2 linked regions of the Mytilus edulis genome follow. Each later gene encodes a partner of the first gene's protein in a complex. Links are inferred from orthologs where the notes say so. Each region holds a gene or a part of one and is shown in the gene's direction. Other genes may lie near its edges.

Region 1 (17,340 bases):
AGTTCGAATAACTTGGCCAGCAGGTGTTTTAATTGAAATAGAGTTGTTTTCAAACATGTTCAATAGTAAATTATAATTGTGTGCTAAATTATTTCTTCCGAAGGTTTTCAATGATATCTTAACACCGCTAGTTTTTGTTGCTACCTTGGAATTTTCTAACCTACGTATATTCATTTTCTATTGGTGGTAAAAATGTCCCAGCCCTCAAAACGGATCTACAAACTCTGCAGACAAAACATGCTTATTCTTTTGTTACTCTGTTATTGTCCTAAATGTGCATGAAATATATACCACTTGAAGTTCAGAAAACAACTAACTATCAACAATTCAATCAAAATATTAGTAATAATGAAGTTTAGTATTAATACATTTACTATGAAACGTAAAACTTGTGTCTCATCCGGTAGTTACGCTTTCGTACAATAAAATATGTTTTAACTAACGAAACATATAGTTTTAAGATGTGATTGACTTTTTGAATTCTAAGAGAAAATATCTGACATATGTTTGAGATGCAGAATCAATGTTAATTAGAAATTTCTATAAAAGTATTTCGGACATTTTGAAATTATCAAATTCAGTGCCAAACAATTGTGAAATATTGATTGCATAATTTACCTGCCGCTACTACCACCAAGAGGAGTATGCATATCCCTCGAGCCATGTTGGAGGATATGATGTTTGGATTATATGGCTCGGTTTATATAGTATATGGAATTAACCATATGTTACCATAAAGTATGTATTGTTACTGTAAAACAGTTTTGTTGTCTTTTCTTACACAACAACGGTATGTAATCTACAGTAAATACTTAGATGTGAAGGAATTAAACATACTTTTTCTCACTTCATTAGTATGTTTGATATTTCCTGTTTTGATATTTCCTGTTAAAATTATAGAACATGAAACCCTTGCGGAAATTAACAATACAGTTTACATTCGACCAAGGATTTCATCTAGTATTTCATTCTTCATTGTGTAAGGCATCTATTATGGTGTTATATAACAATAATACTACAATTAATTTATAATACTTAAAACACTTGAAGATCACCCGCAGTTGTTGTTTAGGTTTTTGTTGCTCAGTCTTGAGCTTTCTTTGTTGTGTTTTATGTACTACTGTTTGTCTGTTAGTCATTTTACTTTTTACGCCATGGCGTTATCAGTCGATTTTCATCCAGCGAGTTTGAATGTCCTTTTGGTATGATTCATCGCTCTTTCAAATGATATATCATTTTAACTATTCAGCTGTTTATATTTGTTTTGTGGTCTTTTTTGTGGGATAGATTTGGTTACTTTTTTCAGCTGATTTGTTTTGTTTTATATATCAACCTGTCTTTCTAATGTTATCAGGCTATCTCTACTATATGCCTGATATATGCATACCTCTACTATATGCATTTAGCATGAAGTTTTACATCAACAAGATAAAAAAAATCACTTTTATTCGTGTATGCTAACAGTTCTCAACACTTATTGCGAATACTGAAGCAATATTTTTCTACTTGTTTCTCCCCTTCTCGTGGCTCGGTACTTGTATATCCCGTAATTGTGTTATTGTGCTATGTTAAATTTTTGTATTATTGACTTTCAGTTTTGCATGTGTTCTTTGTTTATATGCCTTTTTGAGTTTCTTTGTTTGCGTTTTAGTAATTCAGATTATACCACAATGTTGACTGTTGTTTCCCTATTTTGACGTTTTATCTATATGCCTGTTTGTTTATTTCACACATCGCAGTCAGTTTAATGAAATTTTATTTGATTGTCAGAAAAGTGAGAGGTTAAGCTAGCTATAAAATCATGCAGGTTGTTATCCATTCGCTTAGTGTGTTTGAGCTTTTTATTTTGACATTTTATAGGGGACTTTCCATTTTGGATATTCCTCGGAGTTGGGTTTTTTGGTGATTTTCATTTTTTCTCATACAATTATAACTTCATTAATTTTGAATTTTTATTTTTTTTTATATATATATATTTTTTTTTTTGCGAAACCATAGTATGAATAAATTTATCAAAAAAACTGGTAGAGAAAAAAAGAGATGACGAAAAGATAGCTGAAATATATGTTTCATGTTCACTATTAACAATATACCATGTTACTCTTGAAATAAAATAAATCAACAGAATCAAATCGGGCTCTTTGATTTTATATATTAATGTATCAGCCATTCGATTGGAGCTGATTAAAGTTGAATATTCATTATCAAGTTCATGATGATACTACTGTAAAGCAATCAGAAAAAAATAATTATATAGTTAAGCTTATAATAAAAGTAAATTGGCTTTAAAGGGGGGAAAATGCAGTTGTCTCTGACAGATTTGTTGAGTTTTCGTTGCAGCACACCATTTGTTTATCAAAAAGTGTGCACTCATCCTTTTAAACCATTTGCCTCGATGATACCTGATAGCTCATATTCAAGAACAGCTGAGCATACATACTGAAATTATACGTTGATATGTCAGGATCTACCAGTGGGGAAAGAGTGTGAGAGGGTTAACCAACTGGAAGAAAATCAAAACATTCACCAAACATTATACAAAAACAAGTTTTGCTTTTTTAAAAGAAAACGCCTTTTTTTATAATAAGTGGGCTGTGTCATTTTTTATTCTCGAATAAGTAAACATGTTAACTTTGTTCTCATTAATTCAGTTGTGTATGTCTTATCGATCTATTTGTTGTATGCGCAGTAAGACTGTATTTTTAGATGGGGTGAATTCGCTCTAATAGTGTGTTTACATTTATTCTCTAAGCTTGCCATTACCTTAGAGAATTTAAGAATTCGTGTTTAATCTTTTAGTTTACATGTTGCCTTCGACTCTATTGTCGTCCTTGATATGTATCAACTATTTGATACTGGACAGTAATCAAATACAATCAATTAATCAATATCCTTTCCTTGTTTGATGAATATTGTAAATCGCATGTCTATTATTTGTGTTATATAAGACCACTTGTGTTATAGCAACTATGTTTAGAACAATAGTCATCTATGTACGTCAACCTTAACATTAATTGAATGATTATGTTTTAACATTGGCACTATATGACGCATTGGAAGAAGTAGATACCTTGGGTATTTTTCTGCTACCGTTGATGACACCATTTATGAGAATAACACTTGCAAACGCGAATAGAATGAAACAAATTAATTTTAATACCTTGTAATTGTGAATGTGCCAACAAACACATGTCAAGCAGTTAATATCAGCAAAAAGTAAAATCACAAAAATACTGAACTCCGAGGAATATTCAAAACGGAAAGTCCCTAATCAAATGGCAAAATCAAAGGATAAAACACATCAAACGAATGAACAACAACTGTCATATATCGGACTTGGTACCGGCATTTTCAAATAAAGCATTACCCATTTTCATTATCAATTTTATGTTCCCCAACTTTAAAATGTGTAGAAATAATTATGTATTCGTTGTATTTATCACTTTCAATTCATTATTGAAACATGGTAGCTTTCATGTAAAAAAAAGTCCGTCATAATCTTTTCCTTATAGAAAAACTGAGGATTTGGAGAACATATTGACTCGTGACTGAATCATAAAATTACAGGCAGGAATTAAATTCTGATTGAATGGTTGCTTGCTTCGTTAACATCCATTGTAACTTTTGAAGTCCAAGATCTAGGTGTAGACTTATAGTTGGCAAAGATGCAAATTTCAAAAACGTAGACTTTACACGTGTGGCTCACTTTTTTTTAACCTTACATGCATATTAATTCATATGTTGTCAAAAAAGCTTCATTTAACAAAGTTAATCAAACCGTTAGCATATAATACAATAGTGTCTTAATCTTCTTTTTTACATATATATGGAAATGTTTACATCTTGTTTGAAGTAAAATATTATTTATACGTTTGTAGATAGGATAAATGCAAATCTTGGTAAATGATATGAATAGGAATAAACATGATTCGTAGATATCAATAATGCAGAGCCCGCTAAATAATGGCAACAGTAGTATACCGCTGTTCAAAACTCATAAATCCATGGACAAAAAACAAAATCGGGGTAACAAACTAAAACTGAGGGAAACGCATTAAAATATTACAAACTAACAAACTAACACGACAGGGTTACAGTTTAGCATTTAATAGTAAGCATGCACCCACAATGAAAATCTATCTTGATCATATTTCTGGACGACTGGATTTTCTGTTAACATTTCCGGAATGTTAAGTTCACAAAAGAATGTGTGCATTGTATTGTCTTGTTATGAAATTTTATATTAAGATCTGTGTTTTGTAAATAAAAAAAATTAAGTGACGTAAATAATTTGAAATGGAAAATACGCTTTTCACAAATTAACAATATTTCAAGCTTGTCCTAATCAGATATATTGCATTCAAATTATTGGCTAGCTAGGAAGCATAATCTTAATTCTGGCATATTTTCTATGCAGAAAAACGTGTAAATTCAGGCAACATTAAACACGTTTGGATTACATTTTGAATTTATTGAAATATGTAAAATATTCTTAGAATATCGCGTATCAATGAGTGAACATGAACGAAATATTTATTCTGATAAACTATAACATAGCTACATGAAAACATACATAATATGATACAAACATCATGTGAATGTGTGAATAATGAACATGTTCAAAAACAAGAAAATTAGCTTGGTTGACTGACTTTTACAATTCTAATTTTGATAAATCTACAGAGTTGTTCAAGCACAACTTTGCTTGGCGAATCAAATAATTGATCCATTTTGCAAGCATTTGGGATTCGAACAATATACACTTTTATTTCAAAACTGTTGACATTATTTTATTGTTGTTTTTTTTTTAGTGAAATAATTTAAGCGAATGGTCCTACTTCTTTTCTAACGTCAAAACTATATTTCTAACACTTTCCGTGATAACATTATCATTAAAACAGTTTCATATATCAAACATTAACGTTTTAACAGTAATAAATACATATAGTATATTTACTGTCCTTTGATTGGTTAAAAGTATTACTTTTATTTTCAATGTTGTCAATTTTTATGGCGACACACCCACTCTGACGTTGTATATTTATACGCCAACATGTGTGTACGTTGTTATTGTTAATATGAATAATATAAAAAGTTCTTTGAGTCTTATTTTTGATAGAAATTTATTTATAATGAATGGCAATAATTTATTTTGAATTTATTAACCCATAAAATTAATTTTTGACTCTTCACATTTAATAATCCGCTTCGTTAATGTTTGACTCTTCACATTTAACATAATCCGCGAAGCGGATTATTAAATGTGAAGAGTCAAAAATTAATTTTATGGTTCAATAAATTCAAAAAAAATAAAAGCCATTCATTAAATATAGCGATATCCTAGTCATACTAACCTATCGAAAATAAACTGACAATGCAATTGTGAAAAAAAGAAAAAAAGACGACAAAATTATCAGTACAACCAAATCATTTCTTGTATGAAAATTGGAAGCGATTTATAATTGAATCGTACAAAACTTAAAGCAAGTGTACATAACGTTGAAGCTTATATACAACCCTTTTAGATTGAAAAATATAACTGCCAAAACCATGAAATTAACGACCAAATTTAACTTTTCGATTGTTTTGTTTTAATTTTTTCAGCATTGTTGTAACAATATAATGGAACTCAGGTTCGATCAATGATGTTTGCCCGGTATTGTGAAACTAAACAAAATGTGATTGTTATTTGTCAATGATATGGAATCCTCATGAAATATTTAATGTAAGTATGATCATAACTGTTGGGGGGGGGGGGATAATCAGAACATAGGAAATCGTAAAAATTTGTTTGAAACCTGGACACACAGGTTTAAAGGATAGAGTTATAGTTTGAAATTTGTACAAATTATCTCAAAGACATGAACAAACATTGAAATTCTAGAAAAACACTCAAAAGTGTTCATAGATTCGACAAATTCTCTAATGGAATGACAATCATAATGGTTACTAGAGCACACCCGTGAAATCGCGGGTCCGTGACTGAATTAAAGAATATAACTATGTTTAAGCCTTATTTTAGTATTGGGATTGTCATCTGATAAAGTCATGCCGATTGTAAGACGCGCAGTTTTCTCTGCTTTCTAAATCTTTCTGTTTGAACCCGTCGACCTTGAACTTATCAATTATTGGTAATATTAATTATTTGAAAACAAAAGGTCCTGGGATGGAGTATTTTTTTAATTAACAGCATTGTCCTATATTAGTTATTAATAAAGTTGAATTCTTTGATTCCTTGTTTTAAGTCATGCCTGCTAACAAATTGAAAACTGTACCTGTCATCTTAGAAAGTCTTACTGATTAAAATACTACAATAGAAACAATTTGACAATGAATGAAATCAGTAGTGTCAACCCTGTGATTACGACCCGTTTATATAGCAAAATCTGAAATACACCGTTGGTGGTGCGCCTGTTAGATGCGGGACGTACAGATAAGGTAATAGGTAACAGGTGAATATACTATTAGTATCGGTATCGGATTCGACCCGGAACTTGTTAATTATTGGCAAAAAAAGAAAAGTCTGGAGTGGTGTAATTTTTAATCAACACCATTGTCCTATATTGGATATATATAAAAATGAATTCTTTTATTTGCCGTTTTTACCACATCACGGCTGACAAATTGGACCTCGTTATTTTAGTATTGTAGATACGCTGAGTCCGATTAAATAAAGTTCTACCATCAAAGACCCCTCTTCAATGCGTTTTCTATCCATATACACCTTATAGCTTACGCTGTTTTTCAAACTTTCCTTACATCAACATTTCATGTTCAATGGGAGATAACTATGAAATTATTCTGCATTTGACTAAAAAAAAATTCAAGTAGATACAATAAATCAAGGGAGTTAATATGCCAAGGATTTTGAACAGTATAAAAATTATCTAAGTTTTTAAACGGGCACCATTCTAGATATACTTAAAATCTTCCAACATCCTCTACTAGGTGATGTTTTCTAATTTGTCATGACCTACTATTAAGTTTAAAACAGACGGACTTTCGCGGCAATAACACCTTAACGACGATTTCACTACATTTTTCTAGATATTGCTATTATCTTTACTTAAGGATTTCATGAACGTTTTAACTATATGCATGCATAGACGAACAATCTAATTCGAAAACTGCACACTTTTTGTTCTTATTTCTTTTATTTGAATAAACAACTGAAGCATAACGGTGCTTCATGCTCTCGCAAACCAAAATTTTAAAATTCAAGACATAACACCCTGGAACGACATGCTCGACCTTGGCGTAGTTGAACTGCAAGAATATGAAAATAAAGAGATGTATGCGTCTACTTCAATGAAACAGAAATCCAACGTTAAAACCACAGTATTGGAAAACAGTTTTTAAGAACACAGCAGGTTTTCATGCAATATGTATTATAATTGAAAAGAGAGGCAACAGATACCAAAGAGACCGTTAAACTGAAAAGACGAAAATCATATACTGACAACTAAAAATAATGGACAAACAGAAAAACAATGGTGCACCAAAAAACTGGGATTAATCTCATGTGCTCCGGAAGGGGTATACAAATCCTGCTCAATATGTGGCACCCGTCGTGTTGCCCGTGTATAGGTACTAACCCGTTGATATGTCTAATCAGTAGATAGATCATGGGACATTTTGTGAAATGGGCGGAATTGAAGTTAAAGTGAAACAGATATTCCGAAACGGTCAACCTTTTCATGAAAGCGTCCGTAAAACTTCAACTTCACCACTTTGTTTGTTTAATAGCCACTGCAGTTCCTTGTGAGCAGCACAATCTTATATCAATGAAATCTTGATAGGAAATAAAAGCCCTGGAAATAGTGAGTTTAATTATTAAAGTTGATATACATTCCTTGTGAATCTCCGTGAATTTTCATATGATTATTAGTCCAGCCTTCAATCTAACATAAATTTGACCCTAACCCGAAAGTAATTGCAACAGAAGATTTTTAAGTTTCAATCTTTAGCATTATATCCCAAATACACACAGAAAAAAGTCCCATAAAATTTAACTTGAGGTAGACTTAAAAAATCACCATTTAAAATTCCTATGGAGATTTGCATTGCAAAGGGGGATAACTCTTGCAAAAAAGGCAGAAATATCAATAAAAAGTGATACAAAATTATAACTTTACTGCTTCTATTCATCAGAATGTATTGATTCTTGATTTTTTAGCGGTCTTTAGAGTATAACAAACAACTCTAAACGTGTTTTCATATATTTTATCAAGCTATAATCTAGATTTCGTAATTCATTAGATGACCATTTATTGAATTTTTCAACATGTCAAGGTAAAGAATCTCAAATTTAATAAAAAAATAATTAAGCATGTATTCTTCTTTTTGTGGTTTAAAGTTTCTTTAGATAAGTAAGCTGCTGAAAAAATATAATATACAGATATAAACAATACCAAATTTCCACATTATTTTTTTCAAAATGGTTACAAAGCTTCAAATTTGCAATATCTTTGATGAAAAATGCACGAAAAAAATAAAACTACCCATAACACTTCGGTTTTATACATTTCATGAGCAAAAGATTATATAATTTAGTCAAATACAAACTTATAACCGGCCCCTCAAAGTATCATACTTTACATAAATTTCAAGAAAAACAACCCAAAACTGACCAAAAAAGACTCATTTTGCAGGAGTTATCTCCCTTTCCAATGTTAATTTCCATAGGAAATAAAAAAAATGATGATTTTGTGTTTTCCTCAAGTTAGATTGTATGCCGGGGACTTTTTTCTGTGGATACATGTATAAAGGGCATACTGCTATAGATTAGAACTAAAACATTTTCTGTTGCAATTAGTTTGAGGTTAAATCTTAGTTTGACTGGACTACATCTCAAAGTCAAACATTCAGGCGTCATCCAAAGCCACTGTCAATAGCAAAGATATGGTATTGATCCGTTGTGGCTGTCTATATTTTTAATTATTCTTTTGGGTTTAAGACATATTTTACCGTCATTGGTTCTAAATTTATTTCACCGGAAGTACGTCCAACAACAAAAATCTGAAACCGAAAAACAAATCGATGTCAATTTAATCCACATTTTAGGACATAAACCTATAAATAATGTAGACTGTACTTCATTAATTGAAAATGAAGTAACATTGACTGCAATGACCACTGTAAATAATGTACAAGGTGCACACATTTCACCTTGGAGACGATGCGGGTTGTGTTTGGTAGACTTTAAATCTTCCAAAGACTTTTGTCGTCATTTACGTCAAAGCCATTGTACAAAAGAAGGAGGATCATATGTTTGTAGATATGGAGCAAATAATATATGTCCATCACTACCTCTAGAGGGTGTCAGTGATATGGACTACGAAAATCATATAACAAGAGACCATGCAGGAAAGCACTTGCATGGTAGGTTTTCCCGTTTACTTTTATAACATAACCAACACACAAAAAAAGATAAATAACATTGGAAAATTACAAATAAAGGCTGTGCTCTACAATACCAATGAACAGGTTGGGAACAAGGATCTCCTGTAATTGGTGATCGCAATACTGGTATACCAGTATTGTCCACAATACTGGTATACCAGTATTGTCCACAATACTGGTACGGTGCAGTCCGGTGTATCTGCGCACCTAAGACTTATGACTTCACTTCATTCAACTGATAAAACAAATAAATGGATAATATTGTGTGAAAACATTCATAACATACTTTTATTTCATAAAACTATCTGTTTGTTTGGTTTCACCCCCAAGATTTTGTGCAACGTGTGTTCAAAATAAGAGAAACCCCTGTTCTGAGAGTTCCTTCAATGTCCGGTGATTTCGTGCATGCCTTCCAAAAATAGCTTATTTTAAATAAAGGAAAAATTTTCTGCTACGAAATATAGCTGAATTTGAACCAAGCACACTGCCAAGGATGAGAGCAAAACTTATCTCAATCTAATATAAATTTGACTTAAGTAGAACAAATTTTATCTGATGACGTAATTTTTTTAATGAACGTTGGCCAAATATTGTAAATCACGGGATTTGATGAAAACAGATGCATACATCATCTTAAAGATATTCTTAATATTTAATAAAAACTACACAATCACTTTTTTCCTTACAATAAATGCTTAATTTCTTCATCTATCAATATAATAAAAAAATTATCAATTTATTTTTTGCCCTTATATAAAAAAAGAATGAAATTCATATTTCTTTGTATTTTATTAAAAAAATTGTTGATCAATAACAAGCTTAAGACTGTTTTCAACCATGTTCGCCTTTTTCATGTTTGTATCAATACAACACCATCAATAAGTCACACGTTTTGTTTTTATGAATTAGAATTCACTTTATACAATAATTACAGTATTCAACAATTTAGAAATATTAGTTCATGTACATGTACATCTGCACTACATTTTGTTTTCCTTTTTAAATTCTAGCACATGGTAGGAACAGAAGTCTTGAATATAATGAAGCTTCACCACCACCTTCAGCGACAGACAATGCTCCATCAGTTGTACAGGATCAGTTAAGATGGACAGTATACAATGCTACAGTTAACCTACCAGCAGCATTAAATGATCCCAATAGAACAAAGAGAGAGACTGACTTCTTCACTAAAACCTGGGGACAAGATTTTTATGAGCATTCACATATTCCAAAATCAACTTATATACCAGATATCAGCAGAAAATATTTTGAGAAATATAAAAATAGGATTTCAAAAGTAAATATGATGTATGATAAGAACTAAATGTACTTCAAGACTAATAATAATTATATGTATTTTGAAAACAATGACACTCAGAAACTTGAAATTGTAGTTTCATAAGATGACATGTAAATTAGAAATTGTATAAAAAGCTTTGTGGGGTATACCTTAATGAGACCCAACCAACAGACTCCGGAAAAAAATTAAACATGATAAAATGTTCTTATATATCTTGTCCCTATCCATATGGTACTATATTAAAAAAAATTCACCATGCTAACAGCTTACTGATATATTTCCACCTGATGTGGAAATTTTATTAGGTTTATAAGAAATACTTTTATATAACTTAAAAGAGAAGTTCTCATCAATAGTCAGTCATATTGTTGAATTTGAGTTCATAGACATTTACAATTGTTTTATGTATTATAACTATTGTAATTCTGCTGTTACATTTTAGCGATACAAGAAGTACATCAGAAGTACAAGTAATTCTGATTCAGTTAGTGGTGAGACATACCTACATCAGTTAGGTGAGGTTACTTATGGACTGTGAGAAATAATAATACGATAATTTTGTTACAAAAAAAAAATCTTTTTTTCTGTCTATTGTGCATTTTTATAAACAACTAAGATAATTCAAACATGCATTAAAATAATTTTTTTTGTTTTATGTAGGGTGATTTACATGAACAGAACAGCATTAGAAATCTAATTGCCAAAATTTATAAATATAGACTGTACAGACTATCATATCAAAGAATAATTGTCAATTTTGTAATTTAGATATAAGTACTGGTAATAGATTTCCATATATACTAAGAAGCAAATATTTGTCTTAAAGTTTATTAAACAGATATTAAGTAACTAAAACAACTGGTTTTTTTTGGTCCATTTGAAATAAAGGTTGTTTATATCTTAAAGATTATTTTTACCAGACATTAGACAGGATTAATACTTTTTTTTAATTTTTTATTTTTTATTATATGAAATATTTTATAAATGTGAAGATGTGTTGTTGTTTTTTCAGAAAAGAGTAGATCAGAATTGCAAGAAATTCCAAAGGTATGACACTCTTTTTTTTATTAGACTTAGTATTCTCCTAAGACTCCCATTTCAGCATTAGGCATAAATGAAGGGTTTTCAAGAGAATGATGTATCATAATCTGTATGAAATCCATATTGAGTTATATGCCTTGACATCACATGGGATGCACTTGATTTGACTATTTTATTGAGGGTTGTATGTTATCTTATACATGTACTACTTGTCATTTTTTTTCTGGCAAAATTAATTATTTCAATTCTAAATTTAAGATAAATTGATTTATTGAATGATTATTGTAATAGTTCTTAAAAAGAATGAACAGCAATCAAGATTTATTGAATTATTTGTCACAAATTTTACAAAACACATTTAAATGGATTTATTAGCAGTTCCAAAATTAAATTACACCATTTATTTTAACACCATTAGTTTGGGCCTGGTTACCATATACCAGAAAGTAGTACATTTTTAACACAAAATAGTTCCTACACTTGGGTGTGACTTTCAAAATATGTAGAATATTTAGGTACTTTTGGTATCAAATGAAAACTTAATGGCTGGTGGTCATTGTAGAACACTTTTTGACTTATGATTTTGAATAATAAAAAAAATGCATGAAATTTAAAAAAGGGATACATTTTGACTGTTTGTCAGATCTGAAGTACCTATTTTTGGTACCTTCAAAGTTCTTTGAACCAGTTCTTTCTAATGTGCCATTAATGGTATGTTGTTTTTTCAGTACAAAAAACCAATAAGAGTTGTTTTGACATATAATGATTGTTGCTTTATTTGAACTAAAAACAAAGGAACTGTGCCTGCTTGAAATTGAGGAATGTATGTAGACAGCAATGGGGCCATTAATTAGTGTTCTTCCTATTAATTCTTATTTTTCAGTTGTAGAAACTAGGCAAAAACTCTTGAAAACAAAAATTGTTAGTATGAAAATGCAGATAATACATTATTAATTTGTATATACTGTATGATTGATATGTTTCATTTTACACATTTCAATATACATTGCAGTTGTGTATATTTATTTATGTATTATGTCTTGTTTCAGCTTTACCTGTTACAGAATTTTGATTTGGAACACACAGATACATTTAATTCTGTATTTCCGTGGTCTATGATAGAAGATTCTAAAAAGTCTTCACCCGGTCACCAGTCCTCAAAGTTACTGCAAGAAAAGGTATATTTTGTTATGATATAATATTTTCAAACATTTACACAACCAACATGACCAATGTAGAAAGGTTATCAATATTTTTTTTTTAATTTTGGTATTCAAAACAATCTATTTTTCACAAAAAATAATGTCCAGTTCTGACTGCTGCTAAAATGTATATGTATAGTATAACCTTTCATAAAGACTTTATAAGAAGACACTTAGTCACTCACAAGTCCAAAACAGGGCATGGCACTGCTCATCCATATTACTAATAAAGGATTTTTTTCTATTCATTATGTTATCATAATGTTTCCAAAAAAGAGTGACTCCCATGAAGTAAAATCTTTCTCAAATATTCATCATGAGCTGTTAATTAGTATTAACAAAATACACTTTGCAAAATTTAATGCAGTATTCTAACATGACGTCCTTCAAACGCTTTGAGTACACACCCGTGGTAAAATATGAATATATTGCCAGTGCTCAGGGTTTCCGCTGGCGGTCGCCATTTTCGCAATTTGCGAAAAAATAATAATTGTGGCGATAAAAATTCGTCATTTGCGAAAGAATTTGGCGAAAGAAATATATAGAACGATTTATTTTCCTCCATCTTGTTTATTTACTTTTTTCGAGTTTCTCAGACTTTACCTATCAGACAATTCTCGGAATTCACCTTGACATCATTAAGATTTGGACAAAAAAATCAATAATCAGCTGATTGCATTTTATAGCTATCGACAACAAAGGACTAATTAATAAAGGTGTTGATTGAATTGTTTGACAAAATGATATGGTTAAATGGCTTCCGCTAAATGTCACATACAGAATTTATTTACCACTTTGCGACGCACGTGTTTGAAGCAAACTTTTGACGTCTCCTCTCTTTTTAAAGATAGTTTAGAAAAGATAGCTGTTGTTGTGACGAAAAATTTTCAAAAACAAGAAAAATCTCCGATTTAAAACTTTAATTATCCTTTGACTTTAATAAAGGTATTTGATTCTAAAGGGAGACTACTTTAAAGTCGTTTGAGTGACACGTGTGTTTCAAGCATAGTTTTACGTCTCAACTTTTTCATTTACGATGGTCAAAAAATGAAACCTGCCGTTATGAAGAAATCTATCCAAAAGGTTGGGAACAACCCCTTGAATGAGAGTAGCCCTTCAATGTTAATATGACTACACATGAAATGAGGGATCAAAATATCATGTGATAAAAGCTTTTGTTTTGTTGTAAAAACCACTTCTTAGTACAAAATTAAAGGGCACATCAATATTTTTCTTTTAAAGAGACTTTCCCTATGAACTATACTGGTATTATATAATCAAAACCTGTCCATTAATTTTGTTGTATTCCAGGACTTATATCTTCTTTATTATTAAAAGTATAGTGGCCCCCTCATTTAGAAAAGTTGTTTAAAATACAATGAATATTTTCCCCTTTTATGTTAAAAACAAAATCTGTTGTTTTAAAGTAAATGTTTAGTGTTTATTCATTAAATGTAGACTCTAGAATAATCATAGACACAATTGGGCAAAATCACCTCATTTAAGGGAAAAAGGGGGTGGGGTGTAAGAAAAAAAGGTAAATCTTTAAAGAAAAATATAGTTATATCTTACTTGGCGAAAAAAATAATAAAGTGGCGAAAAATATATTGTTTTGGCGAAAGAGGTGGCGAAAAAAATAATTGACCCAGGGGAAACCCTGCCAGTGCTGTTCCGATTGTACTCCCACGTCATATGCTTTTTTATGAATGAGATACCCGACGTCATAGAACAATGACGTTAGAATGTAAGCATTTTACGGGAAAATACAGGCTTGTGAATCCGAAAATCATCACAAGGAAACATACACAAATGATGCTAAAATGTGGCAAAAGCCCTTTATTGTACATCATATAAGACATATAAATAAATTATCATTCAAATTCATCCAAAACTGTCTAAATACATTATTTCAAATAGTTTAAGCATGTCACTATACATGTAATGCAGTTTGCTCCGTTCTTTTACGCTAGTTTATTAGTGCGTTTATTTATGGGAACGGCAAATATTTGCCTACACCTAGAGCGCTTCGATCCAAAAGAATTGCCGTATGTGTCCTATCAGAATCGAAATAATTCATGGGGGCTTGAATATATCTAGATTTTACCACGGGTTGTCCCTTTATGCCGATATTTTACCCCTCGCTATCGCTCAGGGGTAAAATATTTGTCATAAAGGGCCAACCCGTGGTAAAATCACGATATACTCAAGCCCCCATGAATTATTTCTTAATTAGATTATAGCTCCTATAGCCATTACTATATATATCATTACATAGAAGTGATACTATTGATAAAGATTTTATGAATAAATGAATTGAGACAGTTTCTTTTGTTTTTTTTAGCTAAGTCATTATTTAGATATAATAGAAGTTCATATAGCCAGACAGATATCTACCAAGTCTGATGCCTTCTTTCAAGCTATGTCATCTCATGATAAACTACAAGAAGATATGATGAAAACATGTCAGTCTATCAAACAACTCAGGTAAGCTATGTCATCTCATGATAAACTACAAGAAGATATGATGAAAACATGTCAGTCTATCAAACAACTCATGTAAGCTATGTCATCTCATGATAAACTACAAGAAGATATGATGAAAACATGTCAGTCTATCAAACAACTCAGGTAAGTAGTATGTTATCTTATCAAGGAAATACAACCATCCATTGGAATAAGTTGATATTGATCAGGTTATTTGAATTCTTGCAGGTTGAATTGTCTCATTATGGATTGTCCACTGTAGTTTATTAATGGGATATTTAAATTTCTTCTGAACATCATTCTCTTTATTTATTTTGCTCATTTCTTTACCAGTGATATAGACACAGACCTCCCAGTCCTAGTTGATATACATGATATATGAATACATGTACATAGCATTAAATTCTATCACAGCTATTGGAGGGATTTAACTGCTCTGCTCAATACAAAATTGAGCTTGTTCCTAATTTTATTGTAATGCTTGCAAATCTGGAAAGGTTATTTTGTAAACTGTCAGATAATTATTTCTTACATATTCATTTTATATTTGTTCTAGTTGGCTGAATTATTGTGATATACTAGTATCTACAGACATGGGCCTTCATGTTGTATTTACACATCTAATATTCAGTCTGTCAAACATCTTGTTAGTTTTCTGTATATTATATTAATGTATTTTAGTCTACAGCTGATCCTTTATCTGTTTCCTGACACATAGTGTTGCTTGAAACTATATTATTTTGAGATAACAGCTGTGTATGTTGAAAAAAATAAATACTGCACAAGCAAGGTGAAATTATGGTTAGTGAGCACTTGTAGTTATAGAATAACTAATGGAATAACCACGTTTATTTCACATGTGAAATTATCGGTTTTTATTTAACTGGGAAATCAATGTAATTCATTGCAACCAAGGTAATAATAATGAATATATATGTTTGACAGGCATAAAGTACAGCAGATAGATGAAGTGTTAGCCAAAGGATCACTAAAAGTAATAAAATTACAGCAGGCAAGACGGAATCATATAAATTTGTATGAAAAGGTAAGAAAGAATTATACATAGTTGAATAGTAAGGTATCATGGATCTCATGTCTTTAGTAGTCCCTAAGTCTTTTTATAATAAAAATTTATAAATTAATTGATAAACAAAGGGTATGGGGTATAATCCATCTATGGCACAAAATTAGTACATGCACAGCACAAACACACAAAAAGTAAAAGAAGAGCGCTTTTATTACTGTTCTACATATCAAATTCTAATGCAACAACGTTTGTAACGTTCATTTTGATTGGATAACGTCACTTTCTTACATGGCATCAATTGACAATTGATGCTATGGGACGTACGCGCAAGCGCAGACAGCATATGACAGATTTTAAATACATGTTTTAACGTTGTTTTCTGTCAGTTTCATTAGAAAGGAGATAACAATATTGTATTTTAAGCCTTGACGGCATCAATTTGGGATTTGATGGTCGCAACGCGTCGCCAGTAAACTTAATTTGCGACCATCAAATCCCCTATTGATGCCGTCGAAGCTTAAAATACAATACAGTTATCTCCTAAGTCACAGGGAGATATGCAATACAGAGTAAAATAATGGTACCTCACTGTCAGTTTAAGACTGCTCTAGTAAGGTCTTGAGTGGGATTGTTGACAAAAATGATTTGGATAGACTTTGTTCCACATTACGCCACCACATTGTGCCTGCTTAAAAAATACATACTACAAAGTAGAACTCATTTTCAATTGTATGCATCTGATGTGAATATATTTTTACAGTAGTTCTGTGCTATTTTGTTGTTGTTGCCCTATTAATTTGAAAAGTGATATTATGACAGTGTTGTTTGATATGATAGTGGTTCACAAGTTACCGAATATAATAACTTACGGTTATTGAATTCAT
Region 2 (17,348 bases), on another chromosome or scaffold:
TAAAAGAGTTTGAATATTCCGACTTTTTCTTAATGACCATCTAATGAGGTGTGTGAATTTTTCTTAATAAGATTATGAGGCAAAGTGGTATATAGGGTAGCAAAACCAAAAGCACCAATTATAAGCATGCAATTTATCAAGTACTTCGAACGAATTTTGACACTCCAAAAGCAATTTATTCCACTATTTTCAAAGGCCTTATTTGAACAATTTTTTACCAGCTGAGGTTTTTGATTGTACCAAGTGTACTAGTAAGTAGAATACATAGTTTAGCAGGGAAACAATGGCTTGAAACAAAAGAAATCTTTGTTTGTAATGAGTTATGTGCAGCTTCGGACCCAAGTACATGGTTGGAACTTTCATTGTACAATGCATTTGGTTCTGCTTTGAAAAGAATCAGAGCTGAGTCTATGTACCATATTATATAAAAGGTTAACTGGTTGTTAGGACCTAGTCCTTAATTGAGATCCTTGTCAGATATTCCTGGTCATATGTTTTCCTTTTTGTCATATTAAGAATTATTTTTAATTTAATATGTTCGTACGGGAAACAAGGAACACTATTTTCATACAAAAAATTAAGATAATTCTAAATACACATTCATAAAAAATGGAATTTATTACAAAGGATAATCATAAGATATACTTGAATTGTCCTGGACCTCACTTCTGTGATGGGTAAATGTTAATGGAATCCTTCTCTGAATACGGGACAAACATATTAGTAGTGGTAGACCCCAATGTCCAATGATCTTCAATTTCTACCGAATATTGGATGTAAAAAAAAAAAATGCTAACATTCCAATTTTCAATAACAGTTAACAGCAAATACATTATCACAATAACAGATAACAAAAAAACTAATAGCCCAATAACAGCTAACAAAGAATAAGACAATAACAGCTAACAGCAAATATATTTTCAAAATAACAGATAACAAAGAATTAAATTGTCCCATAACAGCATAACAGTTAAACCCCTTGCCCCCCCCTCTGTAAACGGACATAATTCGAGAAAACAATAGTGACACCACTAAAAGTAAAACTTGATCTGTTTTGTGGAAGTAAGTATTGTGTATAAGTTTCTGAGAACGGAAACCAACTTTAGGACATACAAGGGCAGGCTTAATGCCCCCTCCACTTTGTTAGAGCATAAAAGTTTTGGGATGCAAAGTTGACATATCATAATCTGTAATAAAAACACATTTTGGTTTCAATGGTAAAGTTTGATAATTCAACAATGGTTTTGTTCTGGGATGCAAAGTTGACATATCATAATCTGTAATAAAAACACATTTTGGTTTCAATGGTAAAGTTTGATAATTCAACAATGGTTTTGTTCTCACTGTTCTATATTTCTTCTTTTTTTAGTATATGGGAAATGCAAAAAGTAGAGTAACCACCAATTCATAATCATTACAAGTTGAAACACGAGTGCACATACCGATTTGTTTTGCCTTCTTTACTTACCATTGGTTTTATGTTGATAGTCCTTAATATAAAGTTTTACTGCAACTATTACATAAACTCAGAGACATATAATTGTATTACATGTCTCTGATAAACTAACATGATCCAAGAAAATCAGATACAGCTCATATATTATAAACTGAACTGGAAATACATGTACACCTAACTATCATCCATACACCAAATATGCTTTAAATATAATTGACCTAATGCCTTTCGCACATAGTATTTATGAAACAAACTTATTAAGAAAACTTAACATTGATCAGTGAACAATGAACACGAGGTCAAGTTTAGATGAAAGACTTCATCAATGTTGTCAATATTGTAATTTGAATGTGACAGAGGATGAACTCCATTTTTTGTTAGAATGTCCTCTATATGTAACTTCAAGTACCATTTTACTTGATGATTTATTTATCCAAAACTATGAATGCTTAATTCAAAAAACTTATTTATATTGATTATGACTAATGATGATAATTTTATTAAAAACTTATGCAAATATTTGACTTCAAACTTAGAAGTGAGAAATAATACAAGTAAAAATTAATACAGGTTTTAATAACATTTGGTGAAGAGTTATCTTTCTTTTGTCGAACTGATGATGTCGTATAAACTGTTCTTTTGTTTTAATATCATATTATATTTAATTTGATATTATTTCTAAACATGTATTTATGTTTTTTGTCTATGATTTATTTGTTTATAATTGATATGCCTTTAAGGGCCTTTGATTTGGAAATAAACATATTTGATTTGAACCCTTCCTGGCAGACAAATTGGAAGTTTTAACGACCTTGAATGGCTACATAGCCCTTGCACGGTTAACAGTCATTAAATGCTATTATACGATTGAAACCATTTTCTCTCTTTATTTTTAATATATACCAGAATTTTTAAGTGTTTGGTATGACTATAATTTTTAACTCCTGTTCTCGTACTATGCATTGTAAAAAATATTCCTTTCTCCATTACTTTATACCTTACAACAAAATTATTTTCATTATTTTATGTGGCGGCATTTTGTTGAAGGTTATGGTTGTCTTTTTGATATTGTATAACATCTTGGTTATATTTTATTGATTTTGAAACTACATCATCACATAAATCAAATTTGTTTGTTCAATGTTATGTTCTCTTGTTAGTGTTTATGTCTTTTATTTGAGTTAAGCCATCTCAATTGATATTTTAGGGCGTGTCTTTCTTTGTTTTGATGTGTAACTGTTGTTTCAGGTAAGAGTGAAGGTTGGTACCTATAACGTTTAAACTCATTGCAATTGTTTGGACCTAGGAACCTGATGTTCAGTGGTTGTTTATTGATGTGGTTTATAAGTGGTTTTTTTTATTAAATAGATTAGACCATTGTGTTCCTGTTTGAATATTTTTACACTAGTAATTTTTCGGGCCCTTAATAGCTTGTTCAGTGTGAGCCAAGTCTCTATGTTGAAGACCATACTTTTTCCTATATCAGTTTACTTTTATAAATTGTGACTTGGATGGAGAGTTGTCTCATACCACATCTTCTTATTATACCCCTGCTTTGAAAAAAGGGGGTATACTGTTTTAACTCTGTCTGTCCGTCAGTCCATCCAAACCTTGTACTATTTTACACATGATAACCAAGTTGAAAATATTCGTCACATTTTTCTCAGGAACTACAATACAAGGATTTCTGAAATTTGGTTTCAGGATTTATACAAGTCAGCTATACCGTGTGATGCATTTTCAGATTCATCACTAAACAACTTCCTGTTTAACGAACACTTGCATATTTTAACACACTTGTGGCAGGGGTATCATCAGTGAGCAGTAGCTCAGTTTCATTTGTATCTATAATACTAAAATTACGAGGTCCAATTTGTCAGCCGTCATCAGGTAAAAACGACAAATCAAAGAATTCAACTCTATATAGAATTGATATAGGACAATGGTGTAGATTAAAAATTACACCACTCCAGACCCTTTTGTTTTCCACATAATTAATATTGCCAATAATTAACAAGTTCCGGGTCGAATCCGATACCGATACCAATAGTATATTCACCTGTTAGCTATTACCTTATCTGTACGTTCCGCATTTGACAGGCGCACCACCAAACGGTGTATTTAGGATTTTGCTATATACACGGGTCATAATCAAATGGCTGAAAATACTCCATTCCTAGATAGCCAGGACCTTTTGTTTTCCAAATAATTAATATTACCAATAATTGATAAGTTCCAGGTCGACGGGTTCAAACAGAAAGATTTGAAAGCAAAAAAACCTGTGTATCTCATAATCGACATGACTTTTATCAGATGACAATACCAATTACTAAAATAAGGCTTAGGCATAGTTATATATACTTTAAGTCAGTCACGGACCCGCGGTATCACGGGTGTGTACTTGTTTTATCTAAATATAGTTGACCTATTGCGTATATTATAAAAGGAACAAACTTAACCATGAAACTTAATGAAAAATGAAAATGAGGTCATGGTGTGCTGACAATTGCCAGACAGACATATGCATCTTACAATCATTCCATGCACCAAATAAATTTGACCTAAGTTTTAGAAAAAGACCAATAACTCAACATTATGCAATGAATAGTTAATTTGATGTCAATGTCAAATAAACCATACTTGACTGACATGTATATCCTAAAATATTTTCATATGCCAAATATAGTTGACCAATTGCATACATTAGAAAAATAGACCAAAACACAAAAACTTAACCATTTAAATGAGTTCAATGTCAGAAGACACCTGCCAGTTGGACATGTACACCTTTATACAGTCATTTCAAACACAAAATATACTATAATAGTTGACCTTTTGCTAATAGAATAGTATCTTGAGATATGGACTCGACAAAAACTTAACCTTGTTCAGATCCATGAAATAAGGAAGAGTTCAAGTAAAAACTGTCTGACAGGCATGCAGACCTTGCAAAATATGATTAATCATAAGAGTGAAATTAGGAATAATTAAATTTTTAACTTTTTTTCAAGTCGTCAATGAACCAAGAAAATGAGGTCAATGACAATGGACATATGACCGAAGGAAACTTCATAACATAAGGCATCTATATACAAAGTATCAAGGATTTTCAACCTTCTGACCCTATGTCATGCATTTAGCAACAGAAATCCCAGACTCGACAATCAAAATGATAGCTTATAGATTTTCCCCCTAATTTTGTTTTGACCAGAAGGCAGAAATGACAATTTGGGTTTTCCTTAGAATTCAACCACCAAAAAAAAATAATATGCACCGGAGGTCATGTGACACAATATTCCTGTGGGTCCCAAAGCTTACATTAAAGTATCATGTCAAACTTGTGTTTGCATGTTATGAGTATGTGAGGAATACTGGTACAATATACTGACATCCCATAGATTGTAAATAAAACGTAAATAAAACATAAATAGAACAACTTTTCTATCACAAAAAAATATAGGCCAGGTAAAAAAGAAGTTGGAAAGCTGATATTTTTTTTTTTTAGATGTATCTGTTTTAAATCTAGCTTTTGCATCCTGCAAACCAGTAAATGTAAACAATGTATTCAAACATATAAATGTAAGACAAATTTTGGACAATCCACATGCCATGGATAAAAGATATTGCAACAAGTAAGTCCTTTCACTGCCTTTATTAACAATTTTACTTCTTCTTGGCTACACCAACAGTTCTTCCACGTCTTCCTGTGGTCTTTGTATGTTGACCTCTGACTCTCAATCTGAAAATAGACAAAATATGTAATCACTATAACCCATTCCGTACGCATGATATAGAATGTAGGATTTTTCTTGGGCATCAAATACAGCAATTAACAAATGGAGAATTGTGTCCACGAGACACAGATGATACTGTAAAAGTGACACAACCCAAACCAGGGATGGGGTAATTAAAAATGTAATGGTAATTAAGTGTAATGCATTACAATTTTCCATGTAATTGAATGTAATGTGTAATTGAGCATTTTTTTAATTACATGTAATGGTAATTTAATTAATTACATTGAAAAAAGCATGTAATGCTCAATTACTTTTGAATTACATTTCAATTACATGTACTTTTATGGCGTTACAGTTAAGGATTTGTGTTTTATAATATAATTTGTAAAATTATATATATTTTTCAAATATTAATATCAATGCTTTTTTAATATATGAAGTCTGTAATTTTTTCTTAAGTTTTTATATATTTTATTTGACCTACAGATTTTTTTTTAATAGTCTTATAATTTAAAAAATGTGATAATCATATATATTAGGGTTGTTCAGTTTTTAAGAAAGATCTTTAACTAAATAGATTAATAAGTAATAAGCACCTTGTTAAACAAAAACAATAAAATGTGTCACTGTGAAACATCTTTCTGAGACAGTTCATTTAGAATTTAAAATCACTGCATACAATCATTTTGTCAAATTAGTATACACAAAAGGATTATAGAAATAAAAATTAACAGCTGTAAAAACAAACAGCAATTAATCAGATTAAAATGTCCAGAGGCAATGCCACTATTACAGATATTTTATCTAATTAGCAAAATATTGCTAATATTGAGACATTATATACATTGTTTGTACTAAAAATTATTTTCAATATTGTGACAAGCACTTTTTTATATTTTTAAAGTAAAATAAAAAAATATTTTAAATTTATTTATAATTTCCTTATTCATATTATGTTTAATTCAAATGAGTTCATTTCTGAGATGTCAAAATACCCCTTGATGTATTAGCAAGTTAATAGGAACAAATTCCCTCTCCTATCAATATAATGATCTTCTAATCGAAAAACTTCCATGTCCTGATCAAACAATATCTTTTACCATATTAGCTCCTGTCGAAAGACTATGTACAATTGCTGTTTTCAGACCAGAGAGATTCAGAATAATTGACAAAACATTAAAATAGACTATGTACAATTGCTGTTTTTAGACCAAAGAGATTCAGAATAATTGACAAAACATTAAAATAACTATATTAAATGATTATCAAATGCAACGCTTAAACTCTGCTTACATGAAAATTTTACACATGCATTATATAAACATGTAAATTATTTGCTAAAAAATATCATGATGAAATGTAATGTGTAATTTAATTAATTACTTTAGTAAAGTAATTGTAATTTAATTAATTACATTTCAAAAACTGTGTAATGTGTAATTAGTGTAATTGACCATTTTTGCAATGTAATGTGTAATTTAATTAATTACATTCCAATGTAATTGACCCCAAGTCTGACCCAAACTAAACTTGATCTGTGTTTTGTCAAATTGTGGTAATAAGCATTTTGTACCAGTTTCATAAATATTGGTTGAGACAACTAAAATGGTAATCGTATTATCATAAATCTTAATGACCCTCTGCTGCAGTGGGGGCAAACAAACTTCAACAGACACTTACAAATGAATCTGACTGTGTTGCTATCAGAAAGAGGGATCTATAATGACTAAGGCATGGCATAACAAATATTTTTTTTCAACTTGAATTTAAACCAGCTTATATTTGTAGGCAATAATAATAAACTTCTTTATCTAATCCTCCAAAAGTATTACTATTTCTAGACTCTAGGTTGATGCCTTTAAAGACTCATATAGCAAGTTATTAAAGAATTGCTGCTATCTAAGGGAGTATTTAACAAGAATTTGTAGCGCTTACCCCCAGTAGTGTCGAAGTCCTCTATGATTTCTGATTTTCTTCAGTCTTTCTAAATCCTCTCTAAGTTTGTTATCCAGGGCATTGGACATAACCTGGCTGAATTTTCCATCCTTGACATCCTTTTGTCTGTTGAGGAACCAATCAGGGATTTTGTACTGTCTTGGATTGGACATGATGGTGATGACCTTTTCAATCTACAAGGTGGAAAACACAATAATGCAAATCATTTTTTTCAAAAGGAGAATTTCAAAATAACTGTAATAGAACTATAATAATCCCTATCTGATCAATGGAGACAGATAAGTGCAAACATGGATAATTAATTATCCAACACCTAAAAATGGGTGGCATACCCCTTTGAACTATTTACATTTCAATGCAACTGTCTCTATACAAACAGAGTGCAGAACAACATGGTGTTTTCTTCATAACCCTAATGGGTTTAATTCATATAAATTTTGTAGATGCATGTTAATTTTGTTTGTAAATGTTGATGCTAATTTATACAGGTTCAAGCCGTTGTTTCATTACATAAAAAACATTTTTTTCAGTTTCTACACAAACAAAAGTTAGGGGTAAAAGCACAAACCATTCAAGGTTCGTTATAACCATTTTGCTAATAAGGCCAAAAACATATATGTCCGTTTCCTGCTGCCAAGGCGAATAATTCAGGGTCGGTAGGTTTTTTGTTCTATTTTTTGCACTCCCTGTCAGATTTGCAGGCGGTTCAATGTCATGTTTGGTTAGGGTCTTGTCCCCCAAAATGAGTTGATCTCTTTAAAGAAGCTATAATTGACTTCTCCTCCCTATGCCGACGTTTTTTAAACCTTAATTGTAGCACATTTGTGCTGGGAGCAGCCATTTTGATTGTTTGGGCATAGTAAGATACGGATCTGGATTGGAAACGATTTTTTTCAGGAATTTAAATATGACCGTATTTTCACCATAAATTTCATTCTGAGTACTGAGATCGAATCAAATGAAACTGGTGTGTAAACAGTGTTTGTTTAACTTTATTTTGCTGGACCGTATCAAATGAAACTTGTGTGTGTTTGTTTCTTTCGCTTTCTTCTACAGACTGGAAAAAAATGCACTTCCAAATCTAGACAAGTTCCCAATTTTCTGAAACATAAACTACATAACTTTTATATATTTAGGTCTTTCCATTTAATTATGTATTTAATTATAACAAACCTCTTCTTCACTGAGTTCTCCTGCTCTCTTGGTAATGTCAACATCAGCCTTTTTACAAACAACATTGGCATAACGTCTACCAATACCCTGAAACAATAAAACACCAATATTATCTTATTCATAAGTAATGTATCTTTGATCCAACTCTTTACAAGATTATAAGTATCAGTTCATTTAGTACAGTATTATAGGGTTATTGCATGAATATTGGGGAATATTGTCCCGAGTAGAACTTTATATTGCACGAGCTTGCGAGTGCAATATATGTTCTACGAGGGACAATATTCCCCAATATTCATGCAATAACCCTTTTATTGTATAGCAATATAATATTTGAAAGTAAAACTTAGTTTAAGGTTCATCATAACAAATGGACATATATGGCCGTATTTTTACCTCAAAAACTACTCTGTGTACAGACTTACCTGTGCTGTTTGAAAAGTTTTAATGCCTAGCATCCACTAGATATATAAAAGTTAAATGCATTTTGTGTTTAAGAAAGATAAAATCTTTCTTGGTTTTTGCTGGGCATTTTTTTCCTTTCTTCAGAAGGTGCAAAAATAAACAAACACCTGCATTACTTTGATACTGTCCACTCACTGACTCAGATAAACTCTTTAACTCACCTATAGATGTCAAGATACCTGTTGTCCATGTCAATTAAGGACAATGAAAACAATACAAACCGGTTTTTTACCTGAGGGAGCATCTCATAGTTGTTCCACAACTTAGTCAATTTTCACACCTTTTGCATGAAGGAAAAAAAATGCCCATCAAAATCCAAAAGAAATTTTATCTTTCTGAAACACAAAATGGATTTAACTTTTTCATATCTAGTGGATGCTAGGCATTAAAACTTTTCCAACTTTACAGGTAAGTCTGTACTCAGAGTAATTTTTGGCATGTAAATACAGCCATATTTGTCCGTTTGTTATGATGAACCTTAAACTATGATTATGTCGTTGATGACGTCATGAATTTTGAAGATTTAATGCATTAGTGCAATATTGGAATTTATTGCACGCTAACTTTTGGTTACTTTCTGTTGGAAATATTATATTGCTATGCAATAATATAGTTTATGAAAAGCATTTATATGTAAAGATATTGAAATTGAATCCATCGGAAAAATAAAGAACAATGCTTATTTACCATATTGATATACAAAAGTTTTCAAAGAGATATTTAATCACTCATCAGTGTATAATAAGAACAGAAAAATTTGGTTAAAAAGATATTTTAAATACAAAATTATTTCATGCTACATGCAAGTCTCAGAGGGCTTTTCAGTATCTATTTTTGTCTTGCAGTTTTGTGGAGCATTAAAACTAGTCTATTATATATTATCAAAATTATCAGTCATCCTTAAGCTTACCTTGATGGCAGTCATTGCGAACATTATGTTCCTGCGACCATCAATATTCGTATTCATAATACGAAGAATGTGTTGAAACTTCTCTGGCAGTATCAATGCCTAAAAAAATATAAATCAGACATTTATGTTTAAAACATTTAATTTTGATAAACTGTTATTACAAAACAGATAAAAATATATTTAACACTATCGATGCAACTAAACAGATACATAAAATAATTCAATAATAAAATGACATTTTAGATCCAATATTGACCTAGTTAACATTCACCCAAATAATCAAAATGGGTTGAAAATGGGACAACTTCTGAAACTCATAGATCTTATTTTTTTAAAAGTTGAACCAAACACAACCCGTGGGACACATATTTCTGCAAGGTGGTAAGACTTTCATCAATGTAAAGAACAAGATATAGAACATCAGCCTTCCTATAGGCTATAAACTATGTTACATGGATATATTATTATCTTTCGAATCTAAATTGGGTTGGTTCAATTGAATTAAATCACAATAAACCTTTAGAGAAAAAGCATACTTATTCGGATTCGTCGTGTTTTATCTGGAGTTTTATTTTTCAGGGCTTCAACTTGTTTTAACGTCGTTTGTCCCGAACTAGAGGACCCCCATTTATATCCATAATAGGATCTCTCTGCATATACCCTGTGCACCATTTATTCGCAAAAGACATTATTTAATAATTTATGATGCTATTCTTATGAAAAATAGGGTAGGATGATTTCAAATTATTCGAATAAGGATGGATATATTTCAGATATTTAGCACTATCTAACTAACCATGTTGAAGATTTAACCGGAAAAGGAAGTAGTAACAAATGAAGGGAGATAATTTTCTTGCCAGTGATACATTCTGACAGTTAAAATTTACAAGATATAATCCCTTGGACAGTTTATTGCTTATTTTGTCCAGTTACAGTCGAAACATAACTTTATCACACAATTTTACTTGTACATTCAGCGAATTACATGGGTATATTACTATAGTTATTCTTAAAATATCACTGACTATAAAAAAAAACTGTGTCGGTTCTCAGAACTGCCTTGGTCGTTTTGGTCATGTACCACTTCAGCAATACAATAAAAAGATAAAGTGGTTACGACTTAACTTAGCTAAATTGTTCAATTATCTCATTAAATATACTAACATAGCTGTAGTAAAATTGATTATTTATGAGACAATAGACTTTCGGGTCGATCCTGCCCCACGTCGATCCGGCCCAAGTCGATCTGTCCCACGTCGATCCGTCCCCACTTTGATCCGGCCCATATGTAAAGTCGATCCGGCCCCAATAAAAAATATATTTATTTATAAGGAATAAGAATAAAGATATATATTAATTGTAATTCATAAATGTTTATGATTTTTATTAATGTAAAAGGTGTATGTTAAAAAAAAATAAAAAAGGCCTTTGAAAAATATTTTCTTTAGATAGTATAAAACAACTATGTTGATTATGTTTTTATTAGGCACTTGCTCTGGTTACATTGCAATTTAAAATATTTAAAAAGTTATTGTTACATTGGAGTCTAATTACCAGAATACATGGTTGGGTAAGGAACTGATTATTTATGAATATAGCAATAATATTCTTTATATTGAAAGAATGTTTGGTCTTCTGTCAGTCTGAGGTTTGTAGTGGACTCAAGGCAACAACAAAAAAAGAATATCAGGGGATGCACTGCAGCACATGAACTCAATAGCTACATGTACATGTATGACCAGTTCTTGAAATTAAAGACCAGTTTTTAACAGGTTCTAAAAATTCATTTGATATTCTCCAGATTTTAATTACTTTACCTTTTTTTTAACTTATTTTCAGGATGTACATTTTTTTTTAGAGAGACACAGTTTAAATTTTTGTTTGTTAAAAACAAACACAATCTTGTAGTACATCATCTAGGTTACTGGTAACATTTATTCAGAATCAAAGTGTTCAGTTCTGTGCTCTTGGCTGTGTGTTTGCTATTGCATTCTTAAACAGTAAATTTTCCATTAAACATGTTAAAAGCTTGATTATTTTTGATGATGGAATGTTTTTAAAGAATGAAACCATTTTCACATAAACATTATATGTCTTATTTATTTACAGATCATGGATTCCCATGACACTATGGATTTAAACCTTGGTGAGCTAGATATTACATCTGAAGATTACTGGCTTGATGAGGTTGATGGTAAGAGCTACAAAATGTAGAATTTATCAGTATTTGAATGGAAAGAAATGTCTACTATGGATTTATTATTATTCATTGGAGTCTTGGAGACCAATTTCTTTATTAATTTGGTTGGAACCAGGAATTCCAATGTCAAACATTTGAAAAAATGTCCATTAGAATTTATGCCGACTTGGGCAAAACTGTGAAATCCAATATCCACAAAAATGCAGCATAAATTTGCCATATTGTAAGCATTTAAGAAATTGGAGGCAGTTAGCAAGTTCTGCTGACAGCTTATCTAGTTGTAGAGATGTTACAATAAAGAAAATTTATAAGTGTTTGTTATATATACTCAAATGTGATTATTTGGAAGATACATATAGGTAATTAGTTGAATGCAAGTGTTTGTTAATAATCAGATGTGATAGACACAATCTGCTGTAGTATCTATGTTGAATATGTCTGTGTGTAGGAAATTCTTTCTTTTTATTACAGTACACATACAACAGAATCTAGAAGATGAAATTGTCAAAGAAGCCCTGAACACTGTATGTATATTCATGTAATGATTGTAATGTGGTCATTGTAAATATGCGTAGATGTTTATAGTATAAAATAACAATTAAATAGTTAAGCATACACATAAAGGATTTAGGTAATCATCAATTAGACAGAAACAAACAACTCGGGTTACGCAAAACAAACATCTTTTATAAATAGTTAAGCTTTAATTGCTTTCTTTAATTTGGAGTCTTCACAATCAGTGATCATTGATTATTTCAATCCAATGAATGAAAATAAACATCATTAACCATTTTAACCTTTGAAAGTCTTCAGTTTAATGCATGAAATAAATACAATGCAACTTGAATTTTAAAAATATTGTATAAAAAAAAACATTTGACTTTTACAAACTGTGACTCGGATGGAGATAGAGTTGTCTCATTGGCACCCATACCACATCTTTTTGTATCTAATTATAAAAGTAACATGATTCTCACATATTTTTTTTCAGGGAGTGGATTTAAGACAGTATTCCAAAAATGTAGAGAAGGAACTCCTAGGTGTAGAAAATCAATCAATACAAGACTGTATCCATACTGAAAAACCTAGGTTAAACAATCATAGTTATAAATAGTGACCTAATATCATTTAACTGTGTTTAAGAATGCATTTTATTTTCTTGGTGGGTTTAATGCCTATTGGTGGCTTTTGGCTGTTTTTATACGACCGCAAACATTGAAAATTTTTTGGTCTTATATTGGTATCACGTTGGTGTCATCATCGGCATCCAAAGACTTTTGGTTTTCGCACTATAACTTTAGTATAAGTGAATAGAAATCTATGAAATTTAAACACAAGGTTCATGACCACAACAGGAAGGTTGGAGTTGATTTTGGAAGTTTTGGTCCCAACAGTTTGGGAATTAGGGGCCAAAAAGGGCCCAAATAAGCATTTTCTTGGTTTTTGCGCTATAACTTTAGTTTTAGTAAATAGAAATCTATGAAATTTTGACACAAGGTTTGTGACCACAAAAGGAAGGTTGGGATTGATTTTGGGAGTTTTGGTCCTAACAGTTTAGGAATTAGGGGCCAAAAAAGGGCCCAAATAAGCATTATTCTTGGTTTTTGCACAATAACTTTAGTATAAGTAAATATAAATCAATGAAATTTAAACACAAGGTTTATGACCACTAAAGGAAGGTTGTGATTGATTTTGGGAGTTTTGGTCCCAACAGTTTAGGAATTAAGGCCCAAAAGGGGGCCCAAATAAGCATTTTTCTTGGTTTTTTTTACACAATAACTTTAGTATAAGTAAATAGAAATCTATGAAATTTAAACACAAGGTTTATGACCATAAAAGGAAGGTTGGGATTGATTTTGGGAGTTTTGGTCCCCACAGTTTAGGAATAAGGGGACCAAAGGGTTCAAAATTAAACTTTGTTTGATTTCCTCAAAAATTGAATAATTGGGGTTCTTTGATATGCCAAATCTTACTGTGTATGTAGATTCTTAATTTTTGGTCCCGTTTCCAAATTAATCTACATTAAGGTCGAAAGGGTCCAAAATTAAACTAAGTTTGATTTTAACAAAAATTGAATTCTTGGGGTTCTTTGATATGCTGAATCTAAACATGTACTTAGATTTTTGATTATTGGCCCAGTTACTAGTTGGTCCAAATCGGGGTCCAAAATTAAACTTTGTTTGATTTCAACAAAAATTTAATTCTTGGGGTTCTTTGATATGCTGAATCTAAACATGTACTTAGATTTTTTATTATGGGCCCAGTTTTCAAGTTGGTCCAAATTGTGGTCCAAAATTAAACTTTGTTTGATATCAATAAAAATTGAATCCTTGGGGTTCTTTAATATGCTGAATCTTAACATGTATTTAGATTTTTGATTATAGGTCCAGTGTTCAAGTTGGTCCAAATTGGGGTCCAAAATTAAACTTTGTTTAATTTCAACAAAAATTGTATATTTGGGGTTCTTTGATATATGCTTAATCTAACCATGTATTTGGATTTTTGATGTTTGGGCCCGGTTATCAAATTGGTCCACATTGAGGTCTAAAGGGTCCAAAATTGAACTCTATTTGATTTCATCAAAAATTGAATTCTTGGGTTCTTTGATATGCTGAATCTAATCATGTATTTTGATTTTGGATATTGGACCATAATAGGTAATGTCCGATTTAAAATTTAAAATTTTTAAGTTTTAAGTTCTGAGACCACATTCATTATGTGTCAGAAACCTTTGTTGTGTCAACTATTTAATCACAATCCAAATTCAGAGCTGAATCCAGCTTGAATGTTGTGTCCATACTTGCCCCAACCATTCAGGGTTCAACCTCTGCGGTCGTATAAAGCTGCGCCCTGCGGAGTATCTGGTTTACTCTTTGGTCTGGTTGTTGTCTCTCTGGCACATTCCCCATTTGCATTCTCAATTTTATTTAACACCACAAAACACAGATCAAGTCTGAATTTGGGTTGTGCCACTTTCACCAGTCTAGAGTTATAAATTTATGCCCATTTACAAATGGACTATTGCTGAATTTTCATTTCTGTTCTCTAACTTTAGTTTGCCTCAACCAAATGAAATGAAACTTATACACAATACTTATTACAAAAAAAACACAGTTTATGTTTGAATTTTGGTGGCATCACTTTTACTATTCTAAAGTTATGCCCCTTTATAAATGGAAAAATTGCTGAATTTTTTTGTTCCTTTTTCTAACTTTAGTTCACTTCAAATAAATATTATGAAACTTATATGCAATGCTTATTACCACTAAACATAGATCAAGTTTAAATTTTGTTGGCCTCACTTTTACTGAGTTATGTCCTTTTACAATTGGAAAAATTGCTAATTTTTTTAGTTTTGTTCTCTAACTTAAGTTTACCTCTAGCAAATGTTAAGAAACTTATTCACAATGCTTATTACCACAAAACACAGGTTAAGTTTAAATTGGGTAGTGTCACTTATTCATTTGTTGAGTATTGTCTCTTTAAAATCTTATAAGCAGTGGGGGCATCATCTGTGTCCCATGGACACATTCCCCATTTATATAAGTTTAAGCCATATTGATTTTGTAAACAGTTGAACGAGAATTTCTTTTTTAAACTTCCATCATTGACCTTAACACTAATAAGACCTTAAGAAGGGTGAGGACATAGCAAATTTACACAAACAGATATCTGCCTGTGATACCATTTTAGAGGTAAGCTATTTAACTGTAAAGAGTATTAACTACATTGTAATAGAATAAACTACATTGTAATAGAATGAACTACAATGTAATAGAATTAACTATATGGTAATAGAATAAACTACTTTATATATAGAATAAGAATAAGAATATAAGAATAAGTAGAGATGCAAATACTGGTAAAACTAGTGGGTTTCTAATGTCCGAGACCTATTGTTTAGTATTGGTTTAAACTTGGTATGGTACCAGCAGTCTGGTATAAATATATCATTAGATGTAATAAAAACTAGGTTAAAAGATCAATATATCCAAAGCTGGTTTGCATCTATACAGGATTGTGAGAAACTTACTATGTACAGAATTTTAAAATTATATTTTTGTTTTGAAGATTACGTAGATTATATTCACAAAGCTACATAGTGGTACTATGAAGTTAAATGTTGAGGTAGGGCATTATACAAATATACTAAGAGAAAACAGATTATCATATGTACTTGCTGTAATATGAAAATTGTTGAAGATAGGTACCATTTTACTTTAGTGTGTCCTGTGTATAGACATGTATGGCTACAGTTTTTACCAAATTATTACTGTTCGTGGCCAAATGTGACAAAATTGTGTATTTGTATCAAACAAAATCTAGATCTTTAGTTGGAAAACTATGTAATTATTTGAAATCTGCCTGGCAGATTACATTGTAGATCACATCTAATAAGTTGATCATTTGTCTATTGTAATATCTAATTATATTGTTTTCTGTTGTTTATTGTGTTTCACAATGTAAATATGTTTGTGTTGCTATAGCATGTTACTACTGCTTTGCAAATAAAGAATTCATTCATTCATTCAATAAGAATATTTATTATTCCAATCAAGGGCCCTTGATGGGCAGCATAACATGTACACATAAAACAATACATCATTTAACAAAAAAACATTTTTATATACTAAAATGAAACATTAAAAAGTTCAGACAGATGTTATTATCTTCATTCTATAAAAATCACATACATTTTATTCATATACCGGGTAATTATATATGATATATTATTTTCTCCAAAAATTGAATTAAAGACCCTATCAAAAACCAATTTAGATATAATTCACTAAGCTAAGCACAGTGTCACAATTTGTTAACTACATGTATTATGGTAACTTTCTATCATTTAAGGGAATATACATGTTTCAGACATTTATGGTCAACTTTAAAAGAGTGCAGCTCTGTTAATTCCTACTCTCAATGAGAACTGTGCTCATAAGGTCAAGTTTACTACTGTATAATAAATCAGAGTTTGCGAAATCTTTTTTCCCCTGTTGGTCCTTGAAGAAAATCTGCTGGTCCTCACTATTAATCTATTGAAAAATACTAAAATTGTGCCAGTCCTATGCAAAATTTTGGTGGTGAAATCCTGAGGACTGACACTTTTCGTGAACTCTGATAAAATAGGTTTTCTTACCTGTGGTTAATGGATAATTTTACACAACAATTGTAATTACATTTTCAGAGAATGGAACAAATGTTAAATGGTTTCCAGGGTGATTTGAGTAGTATTAGTACAGAAATACAGACTTTACAAGAACAGTCAGTTACCATGAATGTAAAACTTAAAAATAGACAGGTAATCTGATAATTATCATAAACAATTGTAGGATTTTAAATAGTTTGCAGAGTAGCTCTTTGACAATAAAAAGTAGCAGGAGAAATAGTGGAATGATTGCATGCTGAACAATAGACCACTTTCGAGTTCATTTGTCACGGTAAAAACTC

The links.
Region 2: vacuolar protein sorting-associated protein 54-like (region 1) and vacuolar protein sorting-associated protein 52 homolog share a complex: the UniProt entries of both Caenorhabditis elegans proteins name them as parts of the golgi-associated retrograde protein (GARP) complex. The link is inferred for Mytilus edulis from reciprocal best matches to the Caenorhabditis elegans genes vps-54 and vps-52.

Annotation. Positions count from the first base shown.
Region 1 is NC_092346.1:48,261,321-48,278,660, reverse strand, and holds the start of vacuolar protein sorting-associated protein 54-like, read left to right. Parts: upstream 1-8,977; 5' UTR 8,978-9,128; coding exon 9,129-9,381; intron 9,382-10,412; coding exon 10,413-10,699; intron 10,700-11,144; coding exon 11,145-11,217; intron 11,218-11,714; coding exon 11,715-11,749; intron 11,750-12,792; coding exon 12,793-12,921; intron 12,922-15,286; coding exon 15,287-15,429; intron 15,430-16,374; coding exon 16,375-16,474; intron 16,475-17,340. Other genes in the region: uncharacterized protein, read right to left, coding at 619-664. UniProt on the Caenorhabditis elegans protein: Acts as a component of the GARP complex that is involved in retrograde transport from early and late endosomes to the trans-Golgi network (TGN). The GARP complex facilitates tethering as well as SNARE complex assembly at the Golgi.
Region 2 is NC_092345.1:52,795,580-52,812,927, reverse strand, and holds the start of vacuolar protein sorting-associated protein 52 homolog, read left to right. Parts: upstream 1-10,398; 5' UTR 10,399-10,413; coding exon 10,414-10,425; intron 10,426-10,493; coding exon of another isoform or gene 10,494-10,496; exon of another isoform or gene 10,497-10,686; intron 10,687-11,806; coding exon 11,807-11,891; intron 11,892-12,368; coding exon 12,369-12,421; intron 12,422-12,888; coding exon 12,889-12,964; intron 12,965-15,524; coding exon 15,525-15,592; intron 15,593-17,085; coding exon 17,086-17,199; intron 17,200-17,348. Other genes in the region: small ribosomal subunit protein uS13, read right to left, coding at 5,120-5,195, 7,129-7,322, 8,323-8,409, 9,698-9,796, 10,358-10,369. UniProt on the Caenorhabditis elegans protein: Acts as a component of the GARP complex that is involved in retrograde transport from early and late endosomes to the trans-Golgi network (TGN). The GARP complex facilitates tethering as well as SNARE complex assembly at the Golgi.